2 linked regions of the Tamandua tetradactyla genome follow. The protein of the gene in region 1 purifies or fractionates together with the protein of each later gene. This does not show direct contact. Links are inferred from orthologs where the notes say so. Each region holds a gene or a part of one and is shown on either strand. Other genes may lie near its edges.

Region 1 (7,945 bases):
TTGCCAGAAACAACTAGCAATATAAAATATAGTGTTAAAGGTTGTCAGAATGCAGAGGATGGATAACTGGGACTTAATTCTGATCACTCAAGAATCTACAGCGGGAAGAAAGCTCTACACACATGCAATTATTCAGGTTACTCAAAGGAGAAAGGGCCTAACCCACAAGGCACAACCTGCTTGCCTATAATAGGTCAAATGCTTTGACATTTGAAATCTCAGTTAATTTTTGTTACTCTTCCAAGAAATGGGTGCAAAATGTCATTTAACATACCAATAGTACTTAGGCAAGTGACATTTAAAGTTGGCAGCAAGAGATAAAGTCAGGATGAATGTCTGATCTGCTTTATTTTTCCTTTTCTTAGTTTTTTTTTCCACCACCTTCATTAATTTATATTCATTCAAAAATCATTTACAAGTACTTGTACATACCAAGTACTGAGCAAGGCATTTGTTCTAGTTTGCTAGCTGCTAGAATTCAATATATCAGAAATGGAATGGCTTTTAAAAGGGGGAAATTTATTAAGTTGTGAGTTTACAGTTCTAAGGCCATGAAAATGTCCCAATTAAAGCAAGTCTATAAAAATGTCCAAATTAAGGCACCAACAAGAGGTTAGCTTCACTCAAGAATGGCCGATGAAATTCAAGGTTTCTCTCTCAACTGAAAAGGCATGTGGCAAACATGGTGACGTCTGTTAGCTTCCTCTCCAGGCCTTTTGTTTCATGAAGCTCCCCAGAGGGCATTCTCCTTCTTCATTTTCAAAGGCTGCTGGCTGGTGGGCTCTCTGCTTCTTGTGGCTATGCCATTTGTGTGATTCTGGCAGATCTCTCAGATCTTAAACCTTTTCCAAAATGCTTCCTCTTTTAAAGAATTCCAGTAAAGTAATCAAGACCCACCCGGAATGGGAGGAGACACATCTCCATCTAATCAAGCTTAATATCCACAAGTGATCAAGTTACATCTCCGTGGTGATAACCTAATCAAGTTTCCAACCTATAGTACTGGATAGGAATTAGAAAAAATGGCTGTCTTTACAAAATGGGATTAGAATTAAAACATGGCTTTTCTAGGGCACATAAATCCTTTCAAACCAGCACAGCATTTGTGATGGTTAGGCTCATGTCTCACCTTGGCCAGGTAATGGTGCCCAGTTGTCTAGTCAAGCAAACACTGGCCTGTTACTGTGAGGACATTTTGTGGATTTAAATTATCAGTAAATTGATTGCATTTATGATGGATTAGATCTATAATCAATTAAGGAGAGTATCTTCAGTAATGAGAAATGTTTAATCCAATTAGTTGAAGACTTTAAAAGGAGAAGTGATGATTTCCGCAGTTAGAAGATAAAATTTTCATCTCTACTTCAGCTGGCCAGTTTCTCCTGGGGAATTCATCAAAAATTTTCATTGGCGTTCCCAGATTACAGCCTGCCCTATGGAACTTGGACTCGTGCATCTCCACTGTTGTATGGGATAATTTTTTTTTTAATTATCACCTGTAGGTTCTGTTTCCCTAGAAAACCCCATTATACAGCATTTTTATTTGATCAACTATTGTCACCATTTTAATCATATACTGAGTACCTTCTTTCAGTACTTCTCAGAAAGACATATTACGAGAGATTTTTTTTTTTGCCAAGAACCAACAGACCACAATAATAAAATGGACAACACATATAAACATAATATATGGAGTACTGTACTTTTATAAGGTCATAACGCAAGAGAAATGCTAACCCTTGGAAGTGGGAGGATCTGTACACAATATCTTCAAGCTATTTTGGAAGAGTGTTCCCTGATGAGTAGGGAGGTAATGATGTCTTTAAACTAAGGAAGACTCTAAAGGCAATTAACTAAATTAGGAAGCTAAGGAAGGAAGAGGGCTATAGGAGTGGTTATTAGTGATTTATGGGCTTCTCTGCCTGTTGGAAATCTTCATTTGCAAAGCTTACTTCAAATGCCACCTCTACCACAAAGTCAATTCTATTGCATTAATTACTATTCATCAATTCCTTGGTTTGGTTTCAACAATGCCTTGATTTCAAGGTAGCTAAAAGGAGAAAGATGCTCTTCAGCAAAAAGTAATTGGTTTTCCCATGAAACCACCAAAGTTTATTACAGATTCATAGCATGAAAAGAAGAATGATGAACAGATGGAACTATGAGCCATTGCCTTATGATATTCCCAAAGTGGTATGTAAAACCTTCATTCCATTACTTCATTCCATCAAAGACCAAGAAGTCTACTACATGTTGGGCATCACACCAGCAGCAGGAACCACAAATAAATGGCTTGTTTGAGGGAGGAATTGGTCTAGTGAGGATGCTTAGAAAAACAAATATGTAGTCAAATAATCACTATATGATGAGATAGATATAAGCCACAGAAACAGCATAGGATGTAGAAAATTATTAGCTTTGCCCTACTCACTTCCCAATACCTCTGACCTTGTCTATAACTCTCTCTCTCATGCTCACTCCTCTCCTGCTACATTTTTGGGTTCCTAGAATCCCTTAAGCACGCTTCTACCTCAGGCCTTCGCACTTCCTATTTCTACTGTCTCACAGTCTATTCACCCAGAAATCCATGGGGCTTACTTCCTCAATCCATTCAGGTATCTAGTCTTGCATCACCATATCATAGTGGCCCTTACTGACCACCTGATATAAAATTGCACCCCATCTCTCTTTATCCCTCAGCTCTAGTTCCCCTTATGCTGCCACTCTTCTTTATAAGCTTAATTACCACTGACATATTATACATTGATATGTTTATGTCTGTCTTTCTCATTAGAATGGAAGCTCCATGAGACAAAGGACTTTTTTTTACTCAGTGTTTTGGATCTACAGAGCCCAGAAGAGTGCCTGGCACTGTTAGGTGCCCACATAAAATTTTTTTAATAAATGGAAAGGGATGAAGTGGGATTCAAGAAAGATTTCACAAATGGAATTATATTTCAACAGAGTTTAGAAGGCTGCAAGGGATTACCGTAAGATAGCAGAGACTGGAAAAAGCAGCTAAAGGAGTGTCCAAAGATAAGGGGTATTAAAAACACAGGCTTAAGTAACTTGAGATGGTGTGTTATTGGTTGGGTGCAAGCACTTATGCTTCTCTTGCGGCAGTCTGCCTTTTTCCTTGTAGGAGAATTAATTACTAACCACCTTTTTGTCTTTCTCAGTAAATTGAGAGCTCTTTAAGGGAAGGGACTCTTTTCATTCATGCCTCTATATTTAAACATATCAGATACTCAATCGTTTTTAAATAAATTAATGAAAACAATTTGTATTGATGAAAGAGAAAGAAAATTCATTATTTGTAAAACTAAAAAGGATTTCTTTCTGTTTCTTCCCTTTTCTGAAAAGGGAGTGTCCTATTTGAAAACCTTAGAACTGAAAGTAAAGTTAAAAATCATTTAATTCAGCTTTCCCATTTTACAGATGAGAAACTGAAGCATAGAATGACTGACCTGAGGTCATGTAACTATCTAGTTATAGTTAAGAACTACAATTCTGGTTTTGACCCATCATACATCATCTTCGCTTTGGAAAACACGTTCTCAAAAGATGCCTGAAAATTTACCTTTATCTATTTAAAACTGCACATACTTTATGACCTATCTTGGAGAAACATTTGTAAAAGTCTGCAAGTTATTTACAAAGATTTTCATCACAGTTTTTTGTTGTTGTTGTTTGTTTTTTTGCTTGTTTTGGTAAAAGTGAAATAGCAAATGCTTAATTGATACAGAGTTTCAGTTTGGGGTAATAGGAAAGTTTTGGTAATGGATGGTGATGATATAGCACAACATTATCAGTGTTAATTAACAGCACTGCATTATATATTTTAAAGTGAATAGAGGGGAAATATATGCTACTAGAATAAAAATTGAAATAAAAACACATAGCTCTCTACAATACAGTGAACCCTAATATAAACTGTGGTCTAGATTTAATAGTATAGTAATATTATTTCATTAATTGTAACATAGGTACCTCACGAATGCAAAGTGTTAATAATAGGGTAAACTGTATGTGTGTGAAGGGAGGATATGAGAACTCCATTTTCAGTACGATTTTTCTATAAACCTGAACTTCCCTAATTTAAAAAACAAGAGAAAAGTTGAAAACAATCCTGTCAGTAGGGAAATCAATAGGGAAATAACCGTGTTGACTTTATGACAGCCACGCTATGGAATGTTATGCAACACTTAAAAAATGGAAATAGTTCGATATATGCCAACATGGAAAAGATCTCCAAGACACTGCTGAGTTAAAAAGAAAAAAAGCCGCAGGGTGATATGCATTGTATTTACCTTTTAAGACTAGTCAACCTTAGATTCCTCCACTAAAACAATACCATACACGAGAAATAAGTACATAGAATATTTCAGAATTCTGCACACCAGATTCAATGGTTACTTCTGGAGAGGTAGGCAGTGGATAAAGGGTTCTTTGGCTTTAATTGTAATATTTTCCTGTGTTTTTTCTTTTTAACAAGAAGGATGTATTATTCCTATATTACTTTGCTTTTGTTTCCTATAAAAAAAAGGTGGGCATGATTTTTTCGCGGGGAAGGGCAAGAACTATTTCTTCTCTAATGAGAAACAGAGACCTAGAGGTAACGATTCTGTACCAAGGCTGATACAACCTGTAATGAAGAAAACAATGCCCTTCCGAAGACAAAAAAAAAAAAAAAAAAAAAAAAAAAAAGGTTGAGAAGAGCAACCATCCGGGCTAAAGAGAACAATGGCGCACTTCCCGGAAAAGGCAACACGAGTTGTGGAGGCAAAGTCGGGGGAGGGGAATTCTAGCAGACGCAGGACGCCGCCGCGAAGAGCCCTACAGAAAGGCAAAGCGGCATTCCACAGGGGCGGGGCCAACTGCGGCGCACACGCGCAGTTAGGTCCAGGTGGCCGCCGCCGCGGAAGCAAAGCCACCGAGAGCAGCCGCGCAGCTTGCGTGCTGCTGCGCGTGCGCAAGCTGACCTGCTCTTGAGTCTTCATCTTTGCCGCCTCCGCCGCCGGCGGCCGCCCACCCTGGATTTAAGTCGCGCGCTTTCTTGGTTCGCTCGCTGGCGGGTTCGTGCCCCCCTCGCGCCCCTGGGCAGCGAGTCTGGGGAAAGGGTTTGAGGGGCTGTTGATCGCCGCCTTTAAGTTGTGCTCGGGGCGGCCATGTCGGCCGGCGAGGTCGAGCGCCTAGTGTCGGACCTGAGCGGCGGGACCGGAGGGGATGAGGAGGAAGAGTGGCTCTATGGCGGTACGGAACTTCCTTTCTCTCCCTCCCAGGTTTTCGCAGACTTCCTTTCTCCGTCCCCAAACGGCTGGCGTCATGGGCCCATCAAGCCTCGGCCTTGGGCCTGTTGTGCGGAGCTATGCTCGGCCTGACTAGGCCAAGCGCGGCATGCACGCTCTCCCTCGGCTCCCCTCGGCCTCCTCCTGCCCAGCCCACTCCCCCAGCACGCACCGCCCCGCAGCGGCGGAGGACGCGGCCTCGCCGGAGCTGGGGGTTTCGGGGTCGGAGGCATGGGGGCAGTACGGTGGAGTTTCTTCCTCCTATCTGTCGGGACTTCTTGGCTTCCTTGTCTTCGCGTTCTTTACACTTGTTTCTTGTATCGATTTTGGATGTTTTTGGTGTTTCTCTTTTTGCTTCTTGGCTGTAGGATGCCATTCCCGTTCGTTTCTGTCAGAAAGTCGTCCTGTAATAATAGCTAAATAAAGTTAATGCTGTAAAACTAATGTTTTGTTTCCTGCTGGTCAGTTTGTATGGAATGCACCTGCAAGTGTACCTCCTTGTCTCAAAGTCGTGCTTTAAAAAAATAATTAGTGAAAGAGAGAAAGGAGAGAGATGGAATGTATTTTACGACCCATAAAGAAAATCTTGAAATTTTCATGCTTTAAGGTGAAGTTTCTTTTTAGGGACTACTCTGAGTCAGTTACACAGGTTATCTCAAGATTGTGTGTGTTTGTGTCATCCCCTGTATTTTTCTCAAAATAAATTTAATGCATCTTGTGCCTCCCTCTTGAAAGGGGCTTGTTTGACATGTGGTTTTTAACTTTAAATCACAATCCCTTCATGTCTGTTGCTGACACCAGCTTTAAAAGATTATATTTAATACTTGCCTAAATTCTTGATTATCTTTAGAATTGTGTAGTAAAGGTGTCTGTTTCTAACACCACATAGCTTCTTGATGGTGTGACGTTGATAAAGCTGTGAAGTAAATTCCTTGTCTTTGGTGGCAAGCTTTAACATTAGTAAAACTCTCCGAAATATCAATGTGTAGGTTTTCTTATACAAAAGATGTGGAAATCTACAATACGTTTAAAATTAAGCTATTTTTATAGAAGTAAGATGTGAAGATTTTTTCCGTAAATTTTATTTTGTTAATTATAAGGTGATCTAACTTTGGATGTGCTTATAGGCCCATGGGACGTGCATGTGCACAGTGATTTGGCAAAGGACCTAGGTTAGTGCTTGTGATTTGATGATCACTTCAGATTTTCATAAAACCTGTTTCATTAAGAGTGGTTTGTTTACTTACTTACTTATTTTTTTGTTAGATGAAAATGAAGTTGAAAGGCCAGAAGAGGAAAATGCCAGGTTAGTGAAATCTGTTGGTATTTACTATATAGATTGTGTGATGCAACTGTTCTATCAACAAATAGACTTCTTTCATTTAAATCAATGGCTTAATTGCAAAATTTTGAAGAAAGTCGGACCCTTTAGTGTGCATTCTTATTTCAGGACCTAATCTTCTCTTATAACTGTGCTCAATAATGTAATAACAAAAACTACTAACAGACATTTTAAAACTTAAACATTTTTTTAAGAAGGGAGCCAAGATATTACTGCTTTTACAGTTTAACATTTTTGATGTTGTATGCTCTTTAGTTATAATTTCAGTATGTTCCATATGTTTAAATTCACAGGAGAATTAATTTATTAGAAGAATGATTCCCATTGTTAGACTACTAGAAAGTTTTGAGTGCCATGTGTAAACGTAAAAGAGCCAAGAATTTTGTATTTCGAAATAACTCATGTACATGGATGTGCTGTCTTTATTCTGACCAGATTGTCTTAGTGTCCTATTATGTGGTTGGGGGTGGTGTAGAAAGAGTTTTAAAGAATATTTGAGCTTAAAAGTGGAAACTTCACACCCACTAATATGGCTGTAATAAAAAGGACAGATAGCAGGTGTTGATGATATGGAAAAATTAGAACCCTCATACATAAAATGCTGCAACCACTTTGGAAAAGTCTGAAAGTTTCTCAAAAGGTTAAGCAGTTACCATATGGCCCAGCAGTTCCACTCCTAGGTGTTATACACTGGAGAAATAAAAACACAAAATTTGTGCATGAATGTTTATAGCATCATATGTCATTATAGCCCCAAATTGGAAACAACTCAAATGTCCATCAGCTGATGGAAAAATAAAATATGGTATAACCGTACACTGAAATACTATTTAGCAATAAAAAATGAAGTACTGATACATGTCTCCATCATTGATGAACCTTGAGGACATGCTAAGTGAAAGAAGCCAGTCGCAAAGGGTTGTGTATGTTATGATTCCATTTATATGGAATGTTGAGGATAGGCAGCGTATAGCAGATTAGTTCTGGCCAATGATGTGGGAGGGAAAATGGGAGTGAGCATGAAATTTCTTTTTGGGGTGATGAAAATGCTCTGAAATGAGTGTTGATGGTTGCATTACTTTGTGAACAATGAATTGTACACTTTAAATTCGTGAATTGTGTTATATAAATTATATTTCTAAAGCTGTTATTTAAAAAAGTGAGTGATGAAGGGAAGAAGTGGAAGAAGAAATAGCTGAGGAGAAACTGAAATAAGAGTGTTCTTCCTCCTCCAAAATATTGTCTCCTGTTTTGCAAGAAATTTTTTTCATTCATTGTTGTATCATGAAATTTTATCATTTAGTTTTTGTTGTTT
Region 2 (6,835 bases), on another chromosome or scaffold:
ATCTACGCCTTTATTTTGTTAAGAATACAAACATGTAAGAGCAGTTGGGGGCCCTAGTCATAGCTATGAGTGTCCCTGGGGGGTCAGGGTCTTCCCTGTCCTTCTGTGAATTTATATTAAGGGGAAGTCCTGAAGTGAGCATTGAAGGACAAGAAGGATTTAGACTTGGGGAGAAGAGGTAGAGAGGAAAAATATTATCCCTGATAGAGGAGCAGTATAACCTCAGAGGCAGAAATGCACAGATCATATATGGTGAAAAGTAAGTGGTACAACTTAGAAGAAAATACATAAAAAGGAGGGAGGCTAATGACAACGAAGCCACATAATTATAACAGGTTGTCAAATGCAGGAAGCAAGTGCTGCAATTTAGGAAAACTGTCATGAGGGACTGAAATAGACAGTTCAGGTGCAGAAGATACCATAATGGAGAAAGAATCTATAACACTGGTATTCTTAAACCCTCACCATTTATTCCATGGTCATGTTTCAGAAAGAGGGAAGAAAGCCTGACTGCACATCAAATTTAGACTCGTGAATCTGGTGGTTAAAATCTTTTATAATCTGTCTCCCAAATCAATCATTTATCACCCTACTAAACAACTCTCTATTGATTTCCTCTGTGAGTATCAAAATTACCAGGTCCCAACTGTGTGTCTTGGCTACTCCTAGCTACTAGATTATCCTCATCATCTTTTTTTTAAGCAATTTTATTGAGATACATTCACAAACCATATAATTATGCAAATTATATAATCAGTAGTTCACATTATCATCATATAGCTGTGCATTTGTCATCTTATCATCTTTTGTCCATTTGACCAGATTATAACTCATTCCTTAAATCCCATCTTCATCAGGAAACGTTCCATGGTGATCTAGATGGTATCATTCTCTTCCATCTCTATGTTACTCATTACATATCTGGTTTATCAAATAGTAACATGGACATACCATGCCTAAGCTAGGAGTGAACTGGTAGGATTCTAACAGCATGCTTCTTTCCTGCTTTGGAACATATCATTTAACCCCCAAAATTTCCTTCTCTGTAAAATGAAGGGCTTGTGGATTAGCTAACCCTAAATTCATTTTTCATTACTCACTGAACAAATATTCAGTGAGAAACTACCAGTGCTAAACTCTATTATCTGTACTGAGGATAGTGATGAAGAAAAACCATCTATCTATGGCTGTTTTCCTGTAGTACTATGGCTCTCAAACTTTAGCCAGCATCAGAATCACTTGGAAGGCTTGTTACAACATGAATTTCTACACACATGCACCATGCCCTCCAGAGTTTCTGACTCCCTAGTTAGGGACAGGGCCCTCAAACTTGCATTTCTAAGAGGTTTCCAGGTGATTCTGATGCTTCTGGTCCAGGGATCAAACTTTTGAAAAATCTCTATTCTTGTAGAATACTTGACTTTTTCACTGCTGTATTGCCTCTGACTAAAACTATACTCAGTATGTATTTATGGAATGAAAAAAATAATAGAAATTGATATGGGGTATCTAGCTCTTTCTCTTGAATGATTTTATAGTCTACAGGGAAAACACACTAATTTCATTAACAGGTTTAAGAGTTATTGTCATGAGGTAGGTACAAATAAGGAATGGTTTACATCAAAAGGAAAAGGAAATTATGTTCAACCTCGAGGAAGAGGAGGAAGATCTGGAAAAACTTTGTGGAGGAATATATTCAAACTGTGCCTGGAAGAATCCATATACATATTTCAAAGATGCCTGCCACACTCAAAATATTTTTAGAACCTCTCTGTTGAATTTATCTTATTAATCTATAGTGAATCTTCCATTAATGTCCTCAAAGTCTATGGAATCTTTGTATTTTGGTATAAGTTTTGATATTTGAAAATAGCGAAACATCAGACTTTGGCATGTCTGGCCAGAAAGTTGGGTGATTAATTTGTTTCTGCCAAAAGCAAGTTTTGCCACTAATTATCTAGTATTACTTAATGATGGGGCCCTGAAGCGATACCTCAGAAAGCGTTTATAATTCAGTTTAAACAATGGCAGCATCAATAACTAAAGTTCATATTCTATGAAGGTAGTCGGTTTGAAAGACACCCCCCATTTAGCCATCTAGACCCTGATGTATTTTTTTAATCATCATTTGCATAATTAACAGCTTGATTTATTGAACGAATTGATCAGTGGACATACAATAAGCTTTGTATATTTTTCTTCAGAATAAATATTGTGCTATAAATCCCTTAAGTTTAAACTTTCTGGGAATAAAGAACATTGTATAAAAATGGACATTTTTCCAAAGTAGAGCTATAAAAAATATGTATTTTCACCAGTAAATGTACACAGGTTCATAAGAGCTCTTGGTGATTCTGGGCAACTCTGTTAATAATAAATATTAGTTTATGCGTTGCAGGCATTTACTTATGTGCTGGGTCACATTGGTCCTCCGTGAAGGGGGCCGTGTCAAAGCAGCACCCACCATTCTTCCTATCCCTGGATGGAACAGGGTGACTGAGAAGACCATGGAGGGCTAAGGACAAAAAGCAGGCTCATGCTCTCGGCTGTTTGTCCACAGAATTTCTCAGCTTCTCTTTGTCTACCCATCCTTTGAGCCCGGGGTTATCTTCAGTTGTGTGTGTGTGGGGGCGGGGGGGGGGGGGGAGTTGCGTATCAGTACATCCTAGCAGTACTAGATCCACATGATTTTTTTTTTCAAACCACCCAGCTCTCCTACCTTTTAACAGAGTGTACTAAATTTAATTCGGCCTAATGCATGTGAAGATAAAGCATTTCAAGTTTTTTGTTTACGAGTGGTTGTTAAAAGTGTGGGTCCCAGACCAGCCTGAAACTTGTTACACATGCAAATGACCTAGTCCCACCCCGGATCAGAACCTGGGTGGGAGAAAAGAGCCCCAACAATCTGACTTAACGAGCCCTAGTTCCAGGTGTTTCCGTTGTGGGCTACCATCTGTGAACCACTGGGTGCTATCAGTAGCAGCAGTAAAGGAGCTACTTTTTAAAAGTTTTCTGAAATACCATCTTTAACTCCTCACAACCCCACCCCCGGCCCCCCATAAAAGAAAAAGAATAAGGGGGGGGGGATCTTTCCTAGCAGACAGCTTTTCTGTTTCTCTGAGGCAGCAAGTAGATTTTATTGGGTGATATATATACGCTTGCACATACAAATTGGCATGTGTCTTGGGCGAACAGGTATGTCAAATCCTGTTTGAAAAGACTATTAAAACACTTGAGAGTAAATGGATGCAATAAAAATATCGTATTATATACACTGAACTATAAACTAAATGCCTACTAATACAATGGTTACATACATTTGCTTAATTCAAGCCTTGCAGCCACAAAACGCTATTTATTAGCAATGATTAACATTAATATCGACTAGCACTATTACGAAAAGAAAGAAAAACAATCCAGTATGAATTGATTGATTTTGTGAACCAAGAAAAATCTGCAAGAACCGGCAAACCCGAAGCAACAGATTGGGGGCGGGGAGGGAACCGGCACACGTGTTCAGTCTTTCTGCTTAGGCAGTTATTTTCCAAATATGTTTTTCTCTAAAGGAGAAATTATGTTTGTAATTTAAGGAGCGAATATCAAATCGGCTTTAAAACTGCCCTTTCTGTCATAGTTTGGAACATGGTTTTAAATATTGCTTAAATACTCTACATTAAGAGTAAACGGCTACATGAAAATATTTGCCTCAGAATGAAGAAACACCCCCCTGCCTTCATCAGCTTTCGGTTGGCGGTTTCGCGCCGGCCGAACGGAAGCCGAACGGACCCTTGACGTCAAAAGAGGCGGCCTGTCTCGTTTACCAGGATGAAGCCAATACTGCCATCTTTACTTAGGTCACCTCACACCAAGCTCTCCCTGGTAGGAGTAGGGCGCCATGGAAAGTCGGCATAATAAGAGAAAAGGAAAAGTGCATCTCGGTAACAATTTGCTGACAGAACCACGAAAGGCCTGGGGCTGGCAAGCGTTAAACTAGGGGGACATACAGGTGCGGTTTCCGCAGAGAAGCGGAACGATTCAAGCGCATCAATGAGGTTTCTGCCCGGATTTTGAGAGCCGTTTCCGCTAGTTGCCGGAAGTGTGTATTGGGGGACAACTCTCGAAAGAATCCGCTATCCGCTGTTTTCATAAACGGAATCATGTCGAGTTTGGCTGTGAGAGACCCGGCAATGGATCGATCACTGCGTTCCGTGTTCGTGGGGAACATTCCGTATGAGGCAACTGAGGAGCAGTTAAAGGACATTTTCTCGGAGGTTGGTTCTGTTGTCAGTTTCCGTCTGGTATACGATAGAGAGACGGGAAAACCCAAGGGTTATGGCTTCTGCGAGTATCAAGACCAGGAGACCGCGCTTAGTGCCATGCGGAACCTCAACGGGCGGGAGTTCAGCGGGCGAGCGCTTCGGGTGGACAATGCTGCTAGTGAAAAGAATAAGGAGGAGTTAAAGAGTCTAGGGCCGGCAGCGCCCATCATTGACTCACCCTATGGGGATCCCATCGATCCGGAAGATGCCCCTGAATCAATTACTAGAGCAGTCGCCAGTCTCCCTCCGGAACAGATGTTTGAGCTAATGAAGCAGATGAAGCTCTGTGTCCAAAACAGCCACCAGGAAGCTCGAAATATGTTGCTTCAAAACCCGCAGTTGGCTTATGCGCTGTTGCAGGCACAAGTGGTGATGAGAATCATGGATCCAGAGATTGCTTTGAAAATTCTGCATCGTAAGATACATGTCACGCCACTAATTCCGGGCAAATCTCAGTCTGTCTCCGGCCCAGGCCTGTGCCCAGGACCTAATGTTCTGCTGAACCAGCAGAACCCTCCAGCCCCTCAGCCTCAACATTTGGCTAGAAGACCCGTGAAAGACATTCCTCCTCTGATGCAAACTCCTATCCAGGGTGGAATTCCAGCCCCGGGGGCGATCCCAACTGCTGTTCCTGGACCTGGAACTGGTTCCTTAACTCCTGGAGGAGCAATGCAGCCCCAGGTTGGAATGCCTGGGGTTGGCCCAGTGCCTTTAGAGCGGGGACACGTACAGATGTCAGATCCCAGGGCGCCTATATCTCGTGGACCCATGACTGCTGCTGGCCTGCCTCCTAGAGGACTGCTAGGAGATGCTCCAAATGATCCACGTGGAGGGACTTTGCTTTCAGTTACTGGAGAAGTAGAGCCCAGAGGTTACCTGGGCCCACCCCACCAAGGTCCCCCCATGCACCATGTCTCTGGTCATGACAACCGTGGACCTGCCTCACATGAAATGAGGGGAGGGCCATTAGCAGATCCCAGAATGCTAATTGGAGAGCCCAGAGGACCCATGCTAGATCAAAGGGGTCTACCCCTGGATGGTAGAGGTAGTAGAGATTCTCGAGTGATGGAGACTCGAGCCATGGAGACTGAGGTCTTAGAGACACGAGTAATGGAGAGAAGAGGAATGGAGACCTGTGCGATGGAAGTTAGAGGCATGGATGCAAGAGGAATGGAGATAAGAGGTCCTGGCCCCAGTTCAAGAGGCCCTATGACTGGTGGAATCCAGGGTCCTGGTCCCATCAGTATGGGGGCAGGTGGCCCTCAGGGTCCCAGACAGGTTCCAAGCATTTCAGGAGTGGGAAATCCTGGAGCTGGCATGCAGGGGACAGGCATCCAAGGAGCAGGCATGCAGGGGGCAGGCATGCAGGGGGCAGGTATGCAGGGGGCAGGCATGCAGGGGGCTGGTATGCAGGGGGCAGGCATGCAGGGGGCTGGTATGCAGGGGGCAGGCATGCAGGGGGCAGGCATGCAGGGGGCAGGCATACAAGGGGCAGGCATTCAAGCAGTGGGCATCCAGGGGGCAGGCATACAAGGAGGCGGCATGCAGGGGGCAGGCAAGCAAGGTGGAGGCCAGCCTAGCAGTTTTAGTCCGGGGCAGAGCCAGGTAACTCCACAGGATCAAGAAAAAGCAGCATTGATCATGCAGGTTCTTCAACTGACTGCAGATCAGATTGCCATGCTGCCTCCTGAGCAAAGGCAGAGTATTCTGATTTTGAAAGAGCAAATCCAGAAATCCACTGGAGCTTCTTGAAAAGTTTTAGAAAATACACAAGGCAGTAATCTCAGAAAGTTAATTCTGTAGCATGGAGAAGGGGTGCAAAAAGCTGATTTACACATCCCCACACTTGAAAGTTTAAGATTAAGGTTTACCTCTGCTTCCTAGAGCCTAATCTCATTTTTTCTTATTTTTCTTTCCTTCAGCTTTCCTTTTCACTTTTAATTGGGGGGAGGGGGTGGAGGGTATGGGTCTGTTCACTCAAGTTACCGAGAAATACAAAAGTAACACTGAACATGATTGTATTTTACCAAAAAAGCTTATAAAGAATGTGCGACAATATGAAAGGTATCTACAATATGTTAACTACATTTTTAAAAATTGAGTAGAACTATGAAAACTGCACATAAAGATTATGGTAACCTGTGTTAAAATGGCAATGTGTTAAGATAGTTTAAGATTTTAAGTTGTAGAATAAAAAAGTTTACCTCAAAATTATAAAGTTATATTTTTTGGTAAGCCATTTAAAGGCTAAGCTTTATGTTTTTGAGTTATGTTGAAATGTTAAGAGTTAATGGGATAAGTTTAAACTTGTGGTATTGGAATTGCTTTCTTCTAAAGCTGTGCTACCTGAAAAATCAAGGAGTGCACCTGGTTTTATGTTGCTTCATTTATCCCACCCTTCAGAGACATTGTTCTAGTCTAGCTCTGATTAGATTCAGTCTAATTCAGTACCTTCCCTTGCCTCAAGTCTTTAAGCCCTAAGTCAAATCTGAGTAATTTTTACTTGAAAATTTGTA

The links.
Region 2: the proteins of FIP1L1 (region 1) and CSTF2T purify together in Homo sapiens (co-immunoprecipitation; 3 studies listed by BioGRID and IntAct, with this or other methods). This does not show direct contact. The link is inferred for Tamandua tetradactyla from reciprocal best matches to the Homo sapiens genes FIP1L1 and CSTF2T.

What each region holds. Positions count from the first base shown.
Region 1 is NC_135345.1:53,598,115-53,606,059, forward strand, and holds the start of FIP1L1 (pre-mRNA 3'-end-processing factor FIP1), read left to right. Parts: upstream 1-4,929; 5' UTR 4,930-5,168; coding exon 5,169-5,253; intron 5,254-6,415; coding exon 6,416-6,460; intron 6,461-6,554; coding exon 6,555-6,594; intron 6,595-7,945.
Region 2 is NC_135339.1:45,357,794-45,364,628, forward strand, and holds the start of CSTF2T (cleavage stimulation factor subunit 2 tau variant), read left to right. Parts: upstream 1-3,823; 5' UTR 3,824-4,157; coding exon 4,158-6,071; 3' UTR 6,072-6,835. UniProt on the Homo sapiens protein: May play a significant role in AAUAAA-independent mRNA polyadenylation in germ cells. Directly involved in the binding to pre-mRNAs.